6 linked regions of the Xenopus tropicalis genome follow. The protein of the gene in region 1 purifies or fractionates together with the protein of each later gene. This does not show direct contact. Links are inferred from orthologs where the notes say so. Each region holds a gene or a part of one and is shown on either strand. Other genes may lie near its edges.

What was found.
Region 2: the proteins of asf1a (region 1) and hat1 purify together in Homo sapiens (affinity purification with mass spectrometry; 4 studies listed by BioGRID and IntAct, counting the BioPlex papers as one, with this or other methods). This does not show direct contact. The link is inferred for Xenopus tropicalis from reciprocal best matches to the Homo sapiens genes ASF1A and HAT1.
Region 3: the proteins of asf1a (region 1) and ubn1 purify together in Homo sapiens (affinity purification with mass spectrometry; 6 studies listed by BioGRID and IntAct, counting the BioPlex papers as one, with this or other methods). This does not show direct contact. The link is inferred for Xenopus tropicalis from reciprocal best matches to the Homo sapiens genes ASF1A and UBN1.
Region 4: the proteins of asf1a (region 1) and ubn2 purify together in Homo sapiens (affinity purification with mass spectrometry; 3 studies listed by BioGRID and IntAct, counting the BioPlex papers as one, with this or other methods). This does not show direct contact. The link is inferred for Xenopus tropicalis from reciprocal best matches to the Homo sapiens genes ASF1A and UBN2.
Region 5: the proteins of asf1a (region 1) and tonsl purify together in Homo sapiens (affinity purification with mass spectrometry; 4 studies listed by BioGRID and IntAct, counting the BioPlex papers as one, with this or other methods). This does not show direct contact. The link is inferred for Xenopus tropicalis from reciprocal best matches to the Homo sapiens genes ASF1A and TONSL.
Region 6: the proteins of asf1a (region 1) and chaf1a purify together in Homo sapiens (affinity purification with western blotting; 3 studies listed by BioGRID and IntAct, with this or other methods). This does not show direct contact. The link is inferred for Xenopus tropicalis from reciprocal best matches to the Homo sapiens genes ASF1A and CHAF1A.

Annotation. Positions count from the first base shown.
Region 1 is NC_030681.2:73,630,910-73,633,848, forward strand, and holds the end of asf1a (histone chaperone ASF1A), read left to right. Parts: intron 1-1,101; coding exon 1,102-1,278; intron 1,279-1,803; coding exon 1,804-2,016; 3' UTR 2,017-2,439; downstream 2,440-2,939. UniProt on the Homo sapiens protein: Histone chaperone that facilitates histone deposition and histone exchange and removal during nucleosome assembly and disassembly.
Region 2 is NC_030685.2:67,566,726-67,570,246, reverse strand, and holds the end of hat1 (histone acetyltransferase type B catalytic subunit), read left to right. Parts: intron 1-2,334; coding exon 2,335-2,502; 3' UTR 2,503-3,021; downstream 3,022-3,521. UniProt on the Homo sapiens protein: Histone acetyltransferase that plays a role in different biological processes including cell cycle progression, glucose metabolism, histone production or DNA damage repair. Coordinates histone production and acetylation via H4 promoter binding.
Region 3 is NC_030685.2:14,418,055-14,421,554, forward strand, and holds part of ubn1 (ubinuclein-1), read left to right. Parts: intron 1-114; coding exon 115-210; intron 211-986; coding exon 987-1,285; intron 1,286-1,765; coding exon 1,766-2,186; intron 2,187-2,337; coding exon 2,338-2,408; intron 2,409-2,842; coding exon 2,843-2,972; intron 2,973-3,500. UniProt on the Homo sapiens protein: Acts as a novel regulator of senescence. Involved in the formation of senescence-associated heterochromatin foci (SAHF), which represses expression of proliferation-promoting genes. Binds to proliferation-promoting genes.
Region 4 is NC_030680.2:114,756,116-114,760,045, forward strand, and holds the start of ubn2 (ubinuclein-2), read left to right. Parts: upstream 1-1,130; 5' UTR 1,131-1,431; coding exon 1,432-1,857; intron 1,858-3,930.
Region 5 is NC_030682.2:152,183,646-152,187,675, forward strand, and holds the start of tonsl (tonsoku-like protein), read right to left. Parts: upstream 2,801-4,030; 5' UTR 2,479-2,800; coding exon 2,457-2,478; intron 1-2,456. UniProt on the Homo sapiens protein: Component of the MMS22L-TONSL complex, a complex that promotes homologous recombination-mediated repair of double-strand breaks (DSBs) at stalled or collapsed replication forks.
Region 6 is NC_030677.2:93,808,671-93,812,170, reverse strand, and holds part of chaf1a (chromatin assembly factor 1 subunit A), read left to right. Parts: intron 1-2,662; coding exon 2,663-2,877; intron 2,878-3,500. UniProt on the Homo sapiens protein: Acts as a component of the histone chaperone complex chromatin assembly factor 1 (CAF-1), which assembles histone octamers onto DNA during replication and repair.

The sequences.
Region 1 (2,939 bases):
TGTCAATATATAACATGTCAAGGACTGCTCCCCACTGAAGTTTGACAGCCACATAGCTAGTACACTTTAAGGGCTTTGGCACACAGGGAGATTAGTCGCCCGCGACAAGGGAGATTTGTTGCGGGCGACTAATCTCCCGATGTACCAAAGCCCTTAAAAGTGTACTTGCTATGTGGCTGTCAAACTTCAAACTTTTTCCTGTCAAATCTCCAGGAAATGCCATCCCACCGGTGAGAATGTAAATTGCCGGTGGGATGGCATATGCAGTGCTGCGATTTCCATTCTCGCCGGTGGGATGGCATTTCGGGGAGATTTGTCGTGGGCGACTAATCTCCCCATGTGCCACAGCCCTTAGTCCCAAGTGTCTAGAAAGAAATGGCATCTTGCAGATTAGTAATGGATAGATATGCACTCTGTAATAAAATTGCAGTGAAATATCTGCTACTTGTGGTACAGGAATTAGTCTGCACAGTGGATGTACTATGTAGTGGCAGCTGTACTACACATTCTGACCAACTAGGCAGAGATGTACAGATTCTTCAGTAACTGGGAAAAAACTAAATATCAAGCCCCACTAATTAATCATATCTGCTTCCTAGAGAATCAATTTTTCTGAAGCTTAAAGGAGAAGGAAAGGCTAAGTCACTTGGGGGATGCCAAAATGTTAGGCACCCCCAAGTGACTTTAATCGCTTACCTTGTACCCCGGGGCTGGTGCCCCTGTTAGAAGAAAACCGCACCAGCCCTGGGTAGCTGTAGCGGAGCGCTTCCTTCTTCCGTGTTTGCTCTGCCGGCAAAATACCTGAGTGAAAAGGTGACTTCTTGTTAAAGTTCAGCTTTTCACCCTACTGCGCATGCACGAGCGCGAACAAGGAAGAGGAAGCGCTTGCTGCAGGCACCCGGGTTGGTGCTGTTCTCTCCAAACAGGGGCACCAGCTCGGGGTACAAGGTAAGCGATTAAAGTCACTTGGGGGTGCCTAACATTTTGGCACCCTCAAGTGACTTTGCCTTTCCTTCTCCTTTAAGGAAGAATCAGTGTGGAGCCGAACAGTAGATTCTGACAGAGAACATTTGTAACTGCTTTGTCTCCATCTTTGTTTAGGCTGATGCCCCCAACTCAGGCCTTATACCAGACGCAGATGCCATTGGTGTAACAGTGGTGCTTATCACATGCACATACAGAGATCAAGAGTTTATCAGAGTGGGCTATTATGTTAATAATGAATATACAGAAACAGAACTGCGTGAAAACCCTCCTGTGAAACCAGACTTTTCCAAGGTAAAGAATTTACAAACTCTGCAATAAATAGTTTGAAAAACAACTGCCAGGTGATGTAATGTTTATTTTGCATTGTTGGGACTTCACATTGCGGATCATGATCAAATGGCACAGATGCAGAAGTGTCACCTAACTGCAGTAATATGGTGCACAACACAAACCCACTACAGTGGCTTCTAATGCCTTCCCATCAGAAATAAAGTGAATCACCGGTGGAAAGGCTTCCGCACCTCTAACATTTCCAAAGTCGCATGTTGTTTCCTACTGCAAACAGAGTCGAGGTCGGCCTGAAAAAGCAAAAGCAGGCATCTTCAAGCCAACCTCTACTGCGTGTGCCTGCATGGTACATACAATTTTACTTTTATGTCCAGGTCAATGGAGCTGGTTAAGGGAGCCGTTCCGCTTCTCTCAGCCTGAAAAAAAAAAAATGCAGGCTGAGGGCAGTGGAACCAACAGTCCATGTACCCTCAACCTAAAAGGCTTTCAATTATCATTTAAATCATTTACATTTTCTCTCTGCTGCAGCTTCAGAGGAACATCTTGGCATCAAATCCTAGAGTAACCAGGTTCCACATAAACTGGGAAGAAAATACAGAGAAGCTTGATGAACTTGAAGATAGTAATCCTCATCTGCATCCAATACTGTCAATAGAAGCCAGACCTTCAGCTTCAAAAGGATGGCCTATGTCAGAGAACTCTTTAAATGTCATGCTAGAATCGCACATGGACTGCATGTGACTTTACTTTTACATCTTTCTACTTTCAAGCCAATGGGAAAATTGCACTTTGCAACACTATTTTCCAATAAATAGGACACCAGGAAACATGTCCTTGGCAGAAACCTTTATCAAAGGGTGGAAACAAAATGTGAACTAGGGGGAAAAGTTTTTAAAAAATCTATTTTTAATTATTTTTGTTTCTGCTTAAGGCAGGTATCTATCAGCTATTTTCCAAACTAGTTAGAACATGCAACTGCAGCACATTTTGCTATTTATTTGGAGATGTATTGTTTTCTGATATTTTGCTGAAATAAATCTATGCTTGATACCACAGACCTGACATATGCACACTGTGGGCCATCCACAGTACATCCTATTTGATTACATAAAATCTATTTCAGATGGATTCTATTCTTACAACAAATAATGCCTTTATAGTTTACTTTCTTGTTAAAAGGTAATTATTTACCAGTTTTGGTTTTATAAACAATACATGTTTTGCATGGTTTTTCTTTTCAAGCGAAAACCAGAGGGTGTTATATCTTTAAAATTTTACAATTGCTAATGCCAAGCAAGCAGTTGGCTATTTAGCCATTCGATATAAAATAGTTTCTTCTACAGTCGGGAAAAAAATATGCAGTCCCTTTGTAAACAACTCTAATCCAGTATTAAAGGACAATGAAAGGTTAATATAAATTAAAAGTAAATCTAAACGCATTCTTTTTAAGTACTTACTGCATATCTAAATTCCCAGATCCCTGCTTGCCTCTCTGAGATATGGTGCTGGCAGCCTACAGCAGTTAGAAGACTACAGTGACATCACTGAAATCTCTTTCCCCTTCCTGTAGGTGCCAGCGGCAGCCTTCCTATTCTCTGAGCATGTGTGTAACTTGATCCTGTCTCCTGGTCTGAGATACACATGCCCACCAGCCAATCAGAAGC
Region 2 (3,521 bases), on another chromosome or scaffold:
TCTCATCATCAAACAAAATGATCTCTTGCTAGTTGATAAAAATACTGACATGGTATAAAAGATATATTATGCTTTGTTGTTTGTTTGGTACATTACAAAAAGTAATCCTCTTACCTGATCTTTTTCCCTAATATGTATTCTCCAGGAAGTAGTGGGTTGAAATAAAAGTCCTTTATTATTTTCCTTTATAAAAACATAGGGATCAAACAGAATAAATACTTTAGATTTAGTAACCTAAGGTGAGATCACACACAGACCATTCCCTTTATAAGGCACAATTCCCCATATGTAATAAAAGGCACTAAGTTTGTAACCCATAGCTACCAATAAGATTTTTGCTTTGAAACAGGTGACCAGTAAATGCTACCTGTTGATTGGTTGGTATAGGTTACTGCACCCAGGGAAACTTAGTGCTTTTTATTACATAACCCCCAATATGTGCATGTGATTAAACTCAACATTACATATAGCAGTACTGCACATCTAGGGCACTTCTTATATGTATTGCACAAATAGTATCCTATTAACACTGAACTGGAGGCAATACCCAGTTACAAACTGCCTTCATTTAGCTAAAAACAACAGCTAATTGGCCTTTGAACTGCTTGTTTTTGGCATAGTTGTCTTGTAGACATGAAAATGTAACAGTCACACTTATTTTTATTTTTCACTCATTTAGAAAAGTGTTATTTTTAACTATCCCACAACAAGTAAATAGTTTCCAGAGATGTTTTCCCTGCCTGCGCAATCAGGAACCCATAGAAAAACAGTCCTGTTCTCCCATACTGTCGTCTGACAAGTGATTAAGTGATGTAATTTTAAGAGGAAACAGCCCCATTTCCTGTCACATCTGTACCGAGTGTATGTATTTAGGGAATGTGTTCTTGGCATTCTTATATTTTACTCAGCATAAGTTTGTGTCTGTGTACTAATGAATATCAGCAGAGGATCTGGGGGGGTAATGGGGTAAATCTTGGTGATATAAGGCACCTTTTGCAAAACAAAGATTTATTTTTTGTAGATTATTGTTGAATAGAACAAAATGTATAACGTTAACTTTTAGTATGTTATAGAGTTGCCAATTCTTAGTAATGTTTCAGTTGGTCTTCATTTTTTATTTAGCATAGTTTTTAAATTATTTGCAACTGCCTTCTGACTCTTCTCAGCTGTCAAATGGTGTCACTGACCCACATCAGCCAAAAACTATTGTTATTGTGACTTTTTATTACTCATTATTCTATTTAGTCCCTCTCCTATTCATATTCCAGTCTCTCATTCAAACCAATGTCTGGTTGCTAGGGTAATTTAGACAAATAGGTGCGGAAATTCCAGACTGGAGAGTTGAACAAGAAGCAAAATAATTTAAAAAACACAAATAATATAAATGAAGACCAATTGCAAATTGTGTTAGAATAGCACTCTCTACAGTATATTAAAAGTTATTTTAAGGGGAAAAACCCCTTTAGGGGGTCATACAGGGGAGTGTTTCTGGGAGAACCACACCCCATTCATTTTTATGGGGTTGTACTGACACAGGCGCATGTAAGAGCCGAACACAGGAGAATGCAACCCCTGTTCCCCTGCTGATCTGGCTGACTACTTTAAGACTCAAATAAAATGTAACAGTAGTCGACTGTCCTCAGCCTGCCTTCAGCCTGCATCCTCCTAATCCCACAATTCCCTGCACACGTGATGTTAATAAGGAAAGGAACATCACAGTGCAATGCATTGTGGGTTATGTAGTTCCTGTATGCTGTGTGTAAGCTGTGTAGAAGTTTTTAAAATTTGTATCATTAATGTTTTAGTCCCTCCTGCCAGGATTTAAAATGATGCAGAAAGATAACAGTTTTGCAGATGGATTTCAGTTTTTTGGGGAGTCACCTTGATTTAAACGCCGCTCACTTGATCGCCCACAGGAAGAGTTCAGTCACCTGCTAGAGATAATACACACCCAAAACCTAACTTGCACTTTTCATAGAATATTCAGACAAAGTCCTCCATAATCCATCTGAAGCAATGAAAAAGGGAGCACAGTAGTAGGCAGGGCTGGGGCAGAACAGGGGTGGCCCTTCAGATCCAGGTTGACATCCCTGTTGCTGATAATCGGATCGAATCATGTTATAATTGGCAAAGGGGTTTTATTTGCGTGCCCACTAGATCCGGTCCTGTATTGGTCCACTATGTTTGCAGCTATCAGACTAAGCAGGCCGATCCCTATTCAGATTTAGGAGGACAGATTAAAAAGTTGACCTCTTTCAAAGAACTGGGGATTTATTTGTGGCTTTGTGTATATTGGTAAATAATTATTTGTACTGTTTAACTTTGTTTACACAGAAAAATCAGAGAGAGATGGCTAAGATGAAACAGTGCCTCCGGCCAGAAGAGCTGACCAACCAGATGAACCAGATCGATCTAAACACGCAGCATGAGCAGTTAGAGGAGAGCTATCAGCAGCTGGTGGAGGAATACAGGCGGATAGTGGAGCGGCTTGCTCAGGCGTAGAGATCACAAGCATGGCCGCTGATCTTTCACACTATAGCCTTCAGCTTTTCTCTGATATTGCCAACAGACTGCAATCTTAGTACAGTTCTCAGTGTACTGTTACAGTCATGGTTCTCTTGGACTCTTTGAACTTCCACCGGGCTGGAATCTTCAGCTGCCTTTTGTTAATGATAGACCTGTTTGCGTTTAGAGCCGACGTGCAGTAAATATTGGAATTGCCCGGCTCTCTCAGCACTTAGTTAACTTTCCAGGGCCATGCAAATGTTACCCAGGGCATGAAAATCTAAGAATCCAAGGCTTAGGAATCAGGGAAATTGATCATTAAAGCCCACCATCACTTTTAACAATTCCTAGCACTGGATTTGCCATCTACAACAGAGGAGGGAAATATTTCAGTATTATGCAGTGCAGGGTACACTGTTGCCAAAGTCCATGTAGCTTGTATCAGCAAAAATATGTACTTATAGTGACACCAAAATATTAAAGCCATCATTAAAATAATGGTTTTTGCATTCAAAACATCTGGAGTGCCGCAGCCTTTATTCTTTCACAAAGCCATGCTGTTTGTTTTCTTTCTGTAATATAGAATTATTGCCTTACCTTGTTGACACATATCTTCAGTTACCAATTCTACTTTTCCTTTAAGTACAACCAAGTGGCCACTAAGTTAATCTCTCAGATACAAACTCCCTTCCAGTTATATTGATTTGCTGTATGCCATTAATGGGCTGGCTCTATGGGCATTTTTACTGGTCCAGATACTTGCCCATGTCATGTGATTTCAGAGGCATACATGATCCCTGCTAAACATAGGGGATTCTTATAATATTTGGAAGGGTGGCAGCAGAATATCGAAGACACATCACTAATATCATGCTGTGCCAAGTTCCTAGTAAAAAGATACCCCATACGGGCGACCCATTAGGAACTGAAACCAGCACTGTGGGTTGTTCGTACAGATTAGAATAAATTTATCAAACTCTTTAAGAGAGTACATACTCTTCTGTACTGAGACATGG
Region 3 (3,500 bases), on another chromosome or scaffold:
TGGGTCATTGGCACCAAGGTCAGAGGAGGAGGGGTTCAAGGTTAGATGGCAAATGCAAGCAAATCAATAGGCTGTGCATCGGTTAGTTACCAAGCCATATTTCCATGTTCCCAGGGAAACAAGAAGAGGCGCAGGGATCGTATGCAGGACCTTATTGACATGGGGTATGGGTACGACGAGTCGGACTCTTTTATAGACAACTCTGAGGCGGTGAGTTACAAATTTATAAAGGAGCAAGTTATTATGCCCAGGTTTTCATGGGATTAAATTTGCAGTTTTTCATTTTTAATTTTTTGCAGTTTTTGAAGTATTTTTGCTTTTTGTTCCGCCACTCGCCAAGTTGTAATTTCAGCTGCTATCTGGTTGCTAGGGCACAATTTAACATAGCAGCCAGGCAGTGGTTTGAAACTGAGACATGAATATGCATAGAGTGGGGCCTAAATAGAAAGATAAGTAATAAAAAGTAACAATAAAAGTGTAGCCTCACAGAGCAATGAGTTTTTAGCTACTGGGGTCAGTAATCCCCATTTAAAAGTTAGAAGAGGAAGGCAAATCACTTGTGGAAGCAGCCATATGTAATAAACATCTATATTATACATGCACAATGAATAAATACTTACATAGGTGTTGCGTGTTAATGTGTAAGTGCTTGGATGAACAGTTTAGCCTGTAAGTGCCCCTAGTCTGTTGGGGGAAAGGGGGCTTCTATTGAATTTACTCTGCTATAAGCCAGAGCTGGCTCATTTGACCATGCGTAAGAAACATGTAATAAAGAGAAAATATAAATACCCCCTGACTCTATAATAGGAATTCATTTTTATTAAAACACATTTGGTTAAGTATAAACAAGTAAAACTCTTACAGTCAACACATGACAGCTCAGACTGATTTACCCAAAACTTGTAAAGTTAGATGTTCTGAATCCAATCCGTAAGTAAAGTGAAAACCTGCCAGAGGTAAACATGTATATTATTGTATCCTTTTAGTATGATGAGCTAGTACCTGCTTCGCTGTCAACCAAGTACGGGGGCTTTTACATCAACTCAGGAACGCTGCAGTTCAGGCAGGCATCTGAGTCAGAAGATGAAGCCTCCAAGGAAAAGAAGAAGAAATCACCCAAGGTAAAGCTCACGTTACAGGCATTCTTCCCAGTTGCATCAATCAATGACCTGTTTTTTGTTTTGCTTCTGCCTCCACAGAAAATTAAGGACAGGGGTGAAAAAGTGAAGAAGAAGAAAAGAGCAGAGGATAAGAAATCCAAAAAAAACAAACATCCAAAGCCAGGGTACAAACACATCCCTCTTCTGCTTGTCTGTGTAGTCAGTGGGGTTTCTGATCTACGAGCAGATCACCTGCTTCCAGCCATAGAAACATATCATGGCTAGTTTTTGGTTAAGACTGCCACAGCACGTTTTAAAAATGCAAAGAAACTGTATCATTAAAGGTCAAATATACAGTATATACAATTTCCTGAAAAGTTGTGCTTAATATAAAGGGATAAAATAAGAATGCTGGGATAGTTTAATATATATATGCAATATAAGCAAACTTAAAAGGGGCTCTTCCTAAGGCTATGCCTTATAGATTTTATCGTTGGCTACTTTTGATGGGCCACATCCCACCATGCTTTTTTGCAACTAGGCAACACCACTGTATTTAAGGGATTGTCCAATAGGATTGAAGGGGACCTGCTCATATTTCTGCATGGTTGATTCAGTGAGTGGTCATGAAGAGATGAAGGTTAATTGGACATTTTTATGTTTAGATTCACAGCCTTAAATGGTACAAAAGATAAGAAGAAAAAGAAGCACTCTATCTTTAAGATGTTGGCGAGATTTGAGCAAGAGAAAAATGCTCAAAAAACCATTATCACACCACCAACCCCTACTCCCACCGTCAAGCCCTCCGGCATTAGCCAGCAGCCTACTCTTCCAAAGCCAACTCCACGCGAGGCTGAGCTGACCCCTGATCCCACCATGTCGTCTCATGTGTCTGAGCTGCTCAAAGCTGTCAGTGCCATAGACTCCATAAGCGAGAAGCCGATAGAGAATGTACCCAACACCCTGCCCGAGAAAAAGCATGGAGTCCAAGGTGGGACAGCATCAGAGCAGGCCACTAAAGCACCTGCATCTCTCCCAGAAGGCTTACCTTTCGCCCTAGAGAAAAGGATCAAGGAGCTGACAAAGGTCAGTAAAATTATCTATTTTAGTTTTGGTAAAAATGCATTCAGGCCAATTGTTGGCTGATGAAAAATATTCCATCCGCCTTTAGCCGTGCCGTCACCATCATGGTTTTTAGCAGTAATGCAACCCACAGATTTTTTTTTTTTAATTTTAGGCTGTAAGAGCATCAGAGGGTGAAAAGAAAGGTTTGTTATTCTCCCAGGAGATGAACAGCGCTCTGCTTGAGTAAGTATCACTTTCCACAAACACAGCACATTACTTACCCAAGATCCTCCCCTGAGCACTCAACCCTGAGTAGTCCCGTAATGATAGATGGGGGGGGGGGGGGTCTTTATTCTGCATTGTGATACTTTTTTAATAATGTCTACTGTACTGCATAACTGTACTCTTTAGTAACCCTTCCTCCTTCTACAATCGTTTGATGCTCACTCCTACTCCTACACATTTTTCTTTACCAACCCCCACTCATCTTTCCCTTAACTGATCGCTACTCCCATCTTCATATTAACCTTTACTGACATCTACTCCTCCTCTGCACACAGTGCGGTAAATTCTGCAAACAGTTTACATGTGTTAAATTATGGTTTGCTCATAAAAAAACTCTAAACTATAAGCCAAGTGCTTCTACAACAACTAACCAGAATTTTCTGTTCCCACAGCATATATCTATTATCCCGGGAACTGAGCTCCTCTCTCCGTTTGGCAGTCTTCTCACATCTGGCATCAGTCTTACCCTGTGGCAAAGACACTCTGGTAAAATGGGCCACGCGCTTGTACTTGCATAAGCAGGTCAGAGATGGGCCATTGGTGCCATTCTGTGAGCAAATGTGTGTTTGTATGTGGTTGTGAGCTTTTGTCTGTCTGTGTGTGTACATGGTTGAAAGTTCATGTCCCCAGGTTTAAGCATGCATAGCACAGCACTTGTTTCTCTCTTGTCAAATATATTACCTGTTGCTACTCATTGGATATAACTCTGCCTTCCTCCTTACAAGCCCCTGTCAGTGTGCATTTATTTTTAAGTGTTCATGGAGTAACACAGAGAGAATGTTTGCTTTGGTTCACTAACCACAGAAGCCAGTGACCAGTTAGATTTTACCAGTCTAGTCCACACAGAATTATGAAAGTAAAGAATCTGATCTGATTGGTTGATATGTCTGGGACAAATTTTAAGGCTGTTTACTTGATTAATTACATGGTGAGGCTGGGATCGAGGTGTCAGATTGGACTACTAACTTTTTAAAGAAAAGGCCTTTTAAATGATAAAATGTTGACATTTATGTGTTCAGCTTGAGGTCATACAATTCTTGGAATCTGTCT
Region 4 (3,930 bases), on another chromosome or scaffold:
GATCCAAGCACATCCAGGGAAGTGTCTGTTGTAGCCAGGCTCTAATGGAGTATATGATGCCAGGAATAAGAACCAAATAAATAGATGGGTTGAGTGTATGCATGTTTACCCTTCTAATGGGTTTGCAGCCTGGAGCCTATTCCCTGATTTTTTTCAATATATAACCAAAGTGTTATTTCCACAAACTAATTTACAACTATAGAGTATATAAGTCATTATAACACAAAGGGGCCATGAATATCCTGTAGATTATGGTGCATAGTAATATCATCAGTTAGGTTATGGAACTCCCCAGTGACTAACAGTATCCTTACATTATACAACAGGAGGTACATTATTCACAATATATTTTAGAAGAGCTGTGAATATGAGGTTGCCACCTCTGCTGGCTCTGTTACCCAGGCAGGGGGCGGGGAAGAGGTGGGGCTATGACTTGTCGATAGGTGATTGTTGTCGTCAGTTACTGAATCCTGACGGTTTTCCTTATTTGGGAAACCAGGCAGGAGGTTTTGAACCGGGCAACCCTTCTGAAAACTGGGCTTTCCAGGTCAAAACCAGACAGGTGACAGCCCTATGTGAATATTGTGTAAATCATATCCTTATAAATGGTGCATAATGATGTCATCAATTATAATTGGTGCTTAGTAATGTCATTTCTGTCATATGACTCCCTGAAACATGTGTATTATTATAAGTGCCCCCTGCTGTAAAATAGCCACAATATTAGAAGCTCTTTTGAGCAGGGGCCTGCTTACCTAATGTATTGGTTATTGATTGTATTGTATGTTCTCCTGTATGTTTAATGAATACACCAATTTATTGTTTAATAATAACACTAATAAAGTTACTTCAGAGTTCCATGACAGGTATAAAGCACCCTGCCTTCAGCCCCCCTGCCTTTATACCGTCTTCCTGGTGACCTATATAATCTTTTATAATAAGGGGGTACATTTTTCACTACATAACCACAAGCAAAGCCTTTACAGTTTGATGGCAGTATACCTTTAAATCACTAGCCCATCAGAGCTCCGCGTCCTTGCTACCATGACAACCGTAATAAACGTAAAATGCGTAGATTTCGTACAATGTAAAACAAACGCGAAGAAGGCAGCACGTGTAGCGTAATGACGTAGAGGTACCCGCCCACATCCCAGCTCCCAGGCGCGCATGCGCCATAGTAAGTGGACCTGTTATTATTTATGTGGGGTCCAAGATGGCAGCGGCACATAGAGAGGCCAAAGCGGTGGGGCAGGAGGTGGCGGCGGTAGCAGCAGCAGCTAGGAAACAATAATAAGGGAGCCGTCACCAGCGGAAGGCAAGTTTGCACCTGGTACGGGGACTGTGAATAAACCGGAGGAACTCGCAGGACGCGCGAAAGAAATTGTTCTCGGCAGCTGTGAGAGACTGTGTGTGTGAGTGAGAGAGGAAGGAATGGCGGAGCCGCGTAGGGTTCCGTTTGTAAGTCTGTCACCCATGAAACCACGCGAGACCGGCCCAGTCCTGACTGTGGAACAGCAGCACCAGCGAACCCCACCTCCCCTGCAGCCGCCGGCACAAAGGCCACCGCAGCCCCGGGCCGCACAGCAAGCCATGCTACAGCACAGGCCTTCCCAGCAAGCGCTGGCTCACCGGCTGCAACGGGAACCCACGGCTCCTGCCATAGAGACTGGCATCTGTCATGTACTGGCCAAACCCGAGGGGGCTGACCGGCCCCGAGTGCCAGGGACTGTGAGGCTGGAGTTGGCACTAACTGATCCCACAGAGGAGGGCTGTGCGGAATTTAGTTACCCTGAGCTGCTGCAGAAAGAGCAGAGGGCAGGACGGATCCCGGTTGCGGCCAAGGAAGTCGCTGGACAGGTGAGACGTGCGGGATCCTAGGCCTTCCTGTTTGGCACTGACAGCCTCTAATCTGCAGTCGTACATGTAATACCAGTGCATAAACTGCAGTTGTACATGTAATACCAGTGCATAAGCTGCAGAAAGGGAGCTCTCAATTATCAGCAGGCAGCTTGTACCCACATCTTACACTACATTTGTTAGCTCCAAGCATGGCATTATACTGAAAATCAAATCATGAAGAGAAATTATTTACTAACAATAATGTCTATTTGCCTTTTCATTAAAATAGGAGAGTGACTTTGCCTTGTTTCTTTCATCAAAAATTGTTCCCTTAATCTGTATTCTTCAGTGATTCTGATGAAAGTACTATGAAAACTGGTAATAAGTGCCAGGTGTATTATATGTTTTAGGTATTGTTCATTTGCTTTGAAAAATGGGCATATAGTCTGTTAAAGAACAGATTTTTTGGTGGAATCATCCCTTTGTATAGCAAATCAGCCTAGCCTTTCCCTAAGCTCATCATATTTACATGATTACAACTAACAAGGCTAATGCCGCACGGGGATGTAAGTCGTCTGCAATTGCAATAAATCTCTGCTACCTTTTCTGGCCAATTTGCTTGAGCCTCAAGACCTATCACACAAGACCCAAAGAACAATTTATAACCCCCTGCATTTAAAGGAACAATAATACCAAAAAATGAAAGTGTATCAAAGTAATTATTATTTTATGTACTATTACCCTGAACTGGTAAAAGTTGTGTGTTTGTTTCGGGAACCGTGCTATAGTTTATATAAACAAAGCTGCTGTGTAGCCATGGGGGCAGCCATTCAAATTGAAAAAAGGAGAAAAGCACAGGTTACGTAGCAGACAACACATAGGACAGAATTACATTATTACATTAACATTTATTTATAAAGCGCCAACATATTCCGCAGCGCTGTACAATATGTGGGTTACATACATTGGACATACAGAGTAACATATAAAGCAATCAGTAACCGATACAAGAGGTGAAGAGGGGCCTGCCCAAAAGAGCTTACAATCTACAAGATTTGATCTGTTATCTATGTAACCAGTGCACTTTCTCCTTTTTTCCAGATTGAATGACTGCCCATGTGGCTACATATCAGCTTTGTTTATATAAACTCTAGTTGGGTTTCTGAATCAAACACACAACTTCTACCAGTGCAAGAATATAGTACATAATATTTTAATTACTTTAAAATAGAGCTGGGCGGTATGACCAAAAATTTATATCACGGTATTTTTCAAAATTATATCGGTTTCACGGTATTTGACGGTATTTTTTTTTTTTTCCATGCATGATTAGGTGTTAACCCCATTTCCTAATAAATTAGAGAATAATTACTGCAGTATTGAAAATCAGAGTCAGGCAAGCGAAGGATCAGCAACAAGAAAGTCGTAAGGTAAATCAGGCAGGCTTAGTTTCCCAGGCAAGGCCGCAGACAACATAGCACAGGAGGAGGCGTTTGATAGCTTTAAATACCCCCCACGCATGCGCAGAACCGGCGCCGTCAGCGCGTCGCGGACGTGCACGCTTTGACATGTACGTGTGCTTTGACGCACGCGCACCTGGCCGCGCGTGCGCAACGTCCCGCGGACAACGGGACGCGCGCGAGACCGGCCCGCACGGGTGAGTACCCTGACACCCCGGTATTGCGGTATCTGAAAAATGAATATAGTTTTAAAAAAAAAAAAAACACCGGTATTCGGTATTAAACGGTATATCGCCCAGCCCGACTTTAAAACACTCATTTTTTGATGTTACTGTTCCTTTAGTATGATAACTTTTGACTGAAAAGACATGTGACAGAACTACATTAGAACACTGGGGTGATAAAGGTTAGGTGATACAGCAGAAAGGAAAAAAATGGACATTGAAATAATATTAATAATACCGGGAATTTTGACAATGTAGCACTTTACTGCTTATATACAATTTGTAGTACAAGCAAAATAAGGTTGATTTTTGTGATGATAGTATCCATTTAAAACCTATAGGCCATGTCAGATGGTCTTTTCTTGGTAAAGGTAGAAGTTTGAAGTGCTGTATTTCTGGTACTGATC
Region 5 (4,030 bases), on another chromosome or scaffold:
CGGTATATGGGGGGCTGATCAGTCGGTAATTGGGGGGCTGATCAGTCGGTATATGGGGGCTGATCAGTCGGTATTATGGGGGGCTGATCAGTCGGTATATGGGGGGCTGATCAGTCGCGTATATGGGGGGCTGATCAGTCGGTATATGGGGGCTGATCAGTCGGTATATGGGGGGCTGATCAGTCGGTATATGGGGGCTGATCAGTCGGTATATGGGGGGCTTGATCAGTCGGTATATGGGGCTGATCAGTCGGTATATGGGGGCTGATCAGTCGGTATATGGGGGGCTGATCAGTCGGTATATGGGGGGCTGATCAGTCGGTATATGGGGGGCTGATCAAGTCGGTATATGGGGGCTGATTCAGTCGGTATATGGGGGGCTTGATCAGTCGGTATATGGGGGGCTGATCAGTTCGTATATGGGGGGCTGATCAGTCGGTATATGGGGCTGATCAGTCGTATATGGGGGGCTGATCAGTCGGTATATGGGGGCTGATCAGTCGGTATATGGGGGGCTGATCAGTCGGTATATGGGGGGCTGATCAGTCGGTATATGGGGGCTGATCAGTCGGTATATGGGGGGCTGATCAGTCGGTAATGGGGGCTGATCAGTCGGTATTGGGGGCTGATCAGTCGGTATATGGGGGCTGATCAGTCGGTATATGGGGGCTGATCAGTCGGTATATGGGGGCTGATCAGTCGGTATATGGGGGGCTGATCAGTCGGTATATGGGGGGCTGATCAGTCGGTATATGGGGGGCTGATCAGTCGGTATATGGGGGCTGATCAGTCGGTATATGGGGGGCTGATCAGTCGGTATATGGGGGGCTGATCAGTCGGTATATGGGGGGCTGATCAGTCGGTATATTGGGGGCTGATCAGTCCGGTATATGGGGGGCTGATCAGTCGGTATATGGGGGGCTGATCAGTCGGTATATGGGGGGCTGATCAGTCGGTATATGGGGGGCTGATCAGTCGGTATATGGGGGGCTGATCAGTCGGTATATGGGGGGCTGATCAGTCGGTATATGGGGCTGATCAGTCGGTATATGGGGGGCTGATCAGTCGGTATATGGGGGCTGATCAGTCGGTATATGGGGCTGATCAGTCGGTATATGGGGGGTGATCAGTCGGTATATGGGGGCTGATCAGTCGGTATATGGGGGGCTGATCAGTCGGTATATGGGGGGCTGATCAGTCGGTATATGGGGGGCTGATCAGTCGGTATATGGGGGCTGATCAGTCGGTATATGGGGGGCTGATCAGTCGGTATATGGGGGGCTGATCAGTCGGTATATGGGGGGCTGATCAGTCGGTATATGGGGGGCTGATCAGTCGGTATATGGGGGGCTGATCAGTCGGTATATGGGGGGCTGATCAGTCGGTATATGTGGGCTGATCAGTCGGTATATGGGGGGCTGATCAGTCGGTATATGGGGGGGCTGATCAGTCGGTATATGGGGGGCTGATCAGTCGGTATATGGGGGGCTGATCAGTCGGTATATGGGGGGCTGATCAGTCGGTATATGGGGGGCTGATCAGTCGGTATATGGGGGGCTGATCAGTCGGTATATGGGGGCTGATCAGTCGGTATATGGGGGTGATCAGTCGGTATATTGGGGGCTGATCAGTCGGTATATGGGGGGCTGATCAGTCGGTATATGGGGGGCTGATCAGTCGGTATATGGGGGGCTGATCAGTCGGTATTTGGGGGCTGATCAGTCGGTATATGGGGGGCTGATCAGTCGGTATATGGGGGTGATCAGTCGGTATATGGGGGGCTGATCAGTCGGTATATGGGGGCTGATCAGTCGGTATATGGGGGGCTGATCAGTCGGTATATGGGGGGCTGATCAGTCGGTATATGGGGGGGCTGATCAGTCGGTATATGGGGGGCTGATCAGTCGGTATATGGGGGGCTGATCAGTCGGTATATGGGGGCTGATCAGTGGGGGCTGATCAGTCGGTATATGGGGGGCTGATCAGTCGCAGTCGGTATATGGGGGGGCTGATCAGTCGGTATATGGGGGGCTGATCAGTCGGTATATGGGGGGCTGATCAGTCGGTATATGGGGGGCTGATCAGTCGGTATATGGGGGGCTGATCAGTCGGTATATGGGGGGCTGATCAGTCGGTATATGGGGGGCTGATCAGTCGGTATATGGGGGGCTGATCAGTCGGTATATGGGGGGCTGATCAGTCGGTATATGGGGGGCTGATCAGTCGGTATATGGGGCTGATCGTCGGTATATGGGGGGCTGATCAGTCGGTATATGGGGGGCTGATCAGTCGGTATATGGGGGGCTGATCAGTCGGTATATGGGGGGCTGATCAGTCGGTATATGGGGGGCTGATCAGTCGGTATATGGGGGGCTGATCAGTCGGTATATGGGGGGCTGATCAGTCGGTATATGGGGGGCTGATCAGTCGGTATATGGGGGGGGGGCGGTACTCACGCCGGATTTCCCGCTCACTCATTCTCAGCCCGGTGCCGGTGCCGGTGCCGGTGCCGGTGCCGGTCACACAGTTCCCAGTTACTAATCGGACCGCAGGTGACGTCAGAGCGTCTCAATCACGTGACTTTCGGCGCTTTATTCAAATGAGGAGTTTTTCCCGCCCCGTGAAACTATTTATAACGGGAGCGGCACTGCCCCGGGGCTGCTGAGAGGGTTCGTTCAGCTACACACGGACTCCTGAGGGAATCGGTACAACATTGCTACTGGCAGGGAAATGGGAGATTTGGCTCCACACAATATCCCGGGTCTCTGGCAGAGATGGGCGGGGTTATACAAGCGCTGTACTTGTGCCGGGGCATGATGGGAAATTAGCTTCGTTAACATAGCGATATCGCGCAAGGCATGTCGGGATTTGTAGTTCCTTAGGGTTCCTGTGAGGAGCGCAGGGGCTTGTACATTCCCGGGATTCTGCCGGGAGGTGATACGTTTGGGGCAGGGGGAGAGTGTGTCTGGCACCCCCGGGGGGGGGAGAGTGTGTCTGGCACCCCGGGGGGGGAGAGTGTGTCTGGCACCCCGGGGGGGGGGGAGAGTGTGTCTGGCACCCCGGGGGGGGGGAGAGTGTGTCTGGCACCCCGGGGGGGGGAGAGTGTGTCTGGCACCCCGGGGGGGGGAGAGTGTGTCTGGCACCGGGGGGGGGGGGGGGGGGGGGGGGGGGGAGAGTGTGTCTGGCACCGGGGGAGGGGGCAGGGGGAGAGTGTGTCTGGCACCCCGGGGGGGGGGGGGGGAGAGTGTGTCTGGCACCGGGGGGAGGGAGAGTGTGTCTGGCACCCGCGGGGGGAGAGTGTGTCTGGCACCGGGGGGGGGGGGGGAGAGTGTGTCTGGCACCGGGGGGGGGGGGGGGGGGGGGGGAGAGTGTGTCTGGCACCCCGCGGGCGGGGGGGGTGGGAGGAGTGTGTCTGGCGGGCACCGGGCGGGCGGCGAGGTGTGTCTGCGCACCCCGGGTCGGGCCCGAGAGTGGTGCTCTGGCACCGGGGGGGGAAGGTGTGTCTGGCACCGGGGGGGACGGGGGGGAGAGTGTGTTCTGGCAACCGCGCGAGGCGGGGGGGGGGGAGTGTTCTGGCACCGGGGGGGGGGGCGAGAGTGTGTCTGGCACCTGGGGGGGGGGGGGGGGAGAGTGTGTTGGCACCGGGCGGGGGGGGGAGAGTGTGTCTGGCACCGGGGGGGGGGGGGTGGGGAGAGTGTGTCTGGCCACCCCGGGGGGAGGAGGGGGGAGAGTGTGTCTGGCACCGGCGCGGGAGGGAGAGTGTGTTCTGGCACCCCGGGGGGGGGAGACGTGTGTCTGGCACCCGGGGGGGGAGAGTGTGTCTGGCACCGGGGGGGGGGGGGGGGAGAGTGTGTCTGGCACCGGGGGGGGGGGGGGGGAGAGTGTGTCTGGCACCGGGAGGAGGGGGGGGTGCATGCAGTGTGTCTGGCACCGGGGGGGGGGCGGGGAGTGTGTCTGGCATCCGCGGGGGGGGGGGAGAGTGTGTCTTGGCACCGGGGGGGGGGGGGCGAGAGTGTGTTCTGGCACCCCG
Region 6 (3,500 bases), on another chromosome or scaffold:
GTAATAATATATTATGTACTAATACACCCTGCCCTGGTAACAGTTGTGTGTTTGCATGGGTAAGTTGCTGAGTTGAACTTTTTAACACTGTAAATTTACATTTTTGTAGTTAGAAAAATATTTTCATTTGTCTGAATTTATACTTCAGGTATACAGGTAAGCATGCTGCAGTAACTGGCAATGGGTATCAGGCTAAGGGGATATTTTATTTTATACAATGCAGAAATCTCCGTAAAATAGTTTTTATATTTTTGTCTATATCCTATTTTTTCTCTTATGAAAAATATTAAAACATTTTTTATTCCTGTTGGTATTTAGAGCTCTATATCGTGTTGAAGTGGAATTACAAGGAAAAGTGGACTGCTATATAAAGTTAAAGTTAGCTTGATCACTTCTATGTAAACTAAAGAGATACCGCAAAAAGGTTGCTAAAATGCAAAGCTCAGTTTCAGTTCGCCTTGAGAAAGCAGCATATGCGAAACGCGTGTCGGCGTCCTAAGCCCTTTGTTTGTTGATCTTTGTACTGATGTTAAATTAATGGCAATGACAGGCACTGAAGAGAATAGGGACAGTTAATGTTGACGGCACCAGTTTATGGCTGCCAAGGGATACAAATAGCCGCTTTTTAGAGCTTAAGCTTTGACAGGTTTAATGATACCCCCAAGTAATTATGCCTGAATAAGGTGACCGCACCGAGACATTTAGGTGTATGAGCGGGGGTCATATCGTCATTGTTGCACGATCGGAGAGTTTAAGAGTTGTACCTCTGACTAGCATACAAGCACAGTAGCAGTTGCGGATAATGCCTGATATAGGCGGCCTGCCGGACGGGACTAGCGGTATATTGTAATTGTAAGTAGTCCCCGGGCTGGCTGTGGAGTATCGGCAGTGAAAAAATCTGTTACTTCCGGGTTTGTCGATGCATGAGCAGCATAAATAGCACTGAACAAACTAAAAAAGGATGCACTTGCCAGCTTGAAGCATCGATAATTAGCCCGCTAGGATAAGTGGCCCCGCACGATGTATATTAAGACTGCACATACGATACTGACTCTTTTGCTAAGTTAATAGCTGAACTGATAGGTTGAACCCTGTTCAGCTTACGTAGCATACTTTCCGGGCACTACAGAGAGCTACCCTGTCTAATTGGGAATAAAGATGGTGTGTACCGTTTAGCCTAAAAAAAGTGTATCCGGTAGCCCAAAGTACTGATAACTAGCTCTCTGTGATAAACGGATCAGTGCGTAGTATATCAAGCCTCTGCACATGATACTTACCGTCCGTTTAAGATAATAGCCGATCCACTAGCCTGACCCCCGCCTTGCTTTTTTGGTATAATTCCCGACCAATATAGTGAGCCATCTCGTTCAATTGAGAATAAAGGGTAATTTTGTCCCAGTGTATCAATCCAAAGTACTTGATTAGAACACTGAAACAAGGGCTAACCTCTGATCGAGCTCTGCATATAGTGCATTAATAAATTAGATTTATCTGTAATCGGCAATTCAATCCCTCCTAGTGCTGTGGTGAAATTAAGACCTAACTGGTGGATACGTATTAAAAACATTTACCTTTCTCCAATATTGCAGCGAGAGAGCTAATTACTGGAGTATGGTAGAATAATGTGAACTTTAACTCCCATACATCTATATTTAGAAAGTATTTGTGTAAATGATGGAAAGCGGATAAATGATCCCTGAGGCATTATTGTGAGGAATCTTTTACGCACCGTAGGAAATCTGCACCAACATATGTAAACTTCCAACAATTGATACGGTGTGACCTATTCATTTCAGGCTTGTAGAATCTTTATAAAGGTTTTCTTAGTAGCAACTATAGTAATCTAATTTCCACTTGCAACAATGTTATAATGTTGCAATAGTGAAAGCGAAACCTTCTCTATTCTAACAAACATAGGGCTTTACCTCTTTTAACCTTTCCTGTTCCCCTTTCAGTTTATTTTAACCAATTTTAGAAATAATCAAAATAAAAACCTATTTTAACTTTCTATCTGGTGTGCCTTGATCAAGTGTGTGCCTTCCTGCTTACCTAAACTATTTACTACTACATTCAAGTGCACCCAACATGTAAGCTATAGTGCGAGGTGTAGCTCCAACTTCTGGAAGTATTCCTGATCTACACCCCACCGCCCAACCTATAATTTACAGAATGAGCAGCTAATTTCATATCTGCTGTATTGTACATACCCAAAAATATAGAACTGCAAACTTTTATTGCATTACAAAATAGCTGTAAAAAGCTGCCAACTGCATATTTATGGGGTCTTCATCAGGGGGAAAATGAGTAAAAACGAGGCAGATTATAGATACACACAGAATTTATATCCCTTGAGAGCACTGGATGCCCTTAACGTCCTGCTTCCTGTTTATGCAGCAGCACATGAACACAAGTGTACAGCGTGTAAGTTTAGCCCAGCAGTGTGTGTGCAGGCTTTAGTATAACACCTACCAATACAACAACCTAGATGTAGTAGTCCGATGAAGTCAGTGTTCTGCCTCTACCTCTATGGTGTGGACGTAATCCTAAAATTCTGAGAACTACCTATCCATTTTTATAGTATGCTGTAATATAATTCATGCACAACCAGAAATTTGCGAGCAAAACAGCTGTCTTATTTTGTCATTCCGTTCGTTATCCTTAGGGTAAGGAAGAAAAGGGGCAAGCTGAAAAGGAGGAGCGAAAGCGTGCTAGAGAAGATGCAAGGGCTGCAAAAGAACTTGCAAAGAAGAAGAGGGACGATGAGAGAGAGCAGCGGGAAAGGGACAAGAAGGAAAAAAAGGAGAGAGAAGACCGAGAAAAGGCAGAAAAGTTGCGACTAAAGGAGGAGAAAAAAAAGGAGAAGCTTGAAGCCCTGGAGTGAGTATTATAGCAAAGGGTCGTCTTGCACTGGGTGGAATTTAATAGATCTAAAAACAAATTTGAGGTGAAGAACAGTATTATAGTCTGCACTCTCCTATGTTTCGGGTGCCCCGGCGAAACACCCCCCCCCTCGCAAGCTTGCTGGTGTGGGCATTTAAACTCCCATACAGAACAGTGGGGTGACGTCCCTGCTCCGTACAGGAGAAAATTTCGTTGTGGGGCGGCATTCCGCCCCTAAATTTGTGCCACCCGGGCCTTTGTGGCCTCACCACAAATCAAGGCCTGGGGACAGTCAAGTGGTAAGGTAAGAATTCTTCAAATTGTAGGTTGTTTACCTTATACAGCAGGGAAGATAAGTATTGAACATGTGAACAATTTTCTTAGTAAATGTGACAAATTAGAAAATTGGTAATGACAGCTTCAAGGTGCCTCATGTGCCACATGCATTACTCAGGTGTGATATTTGCTCTTTCTTCCACACAAACTGTCTTTAAATCTTGACTGTTCCGGGGACCTCTTCTATGAACTCTGGTCTTCAGTTCTTTCCATAGATTTTCAATTGGGTTCAAGTTGGGTGATTGACTGACTGGGCCATTCTAGCAGCTTTATGTTGTTTCTCT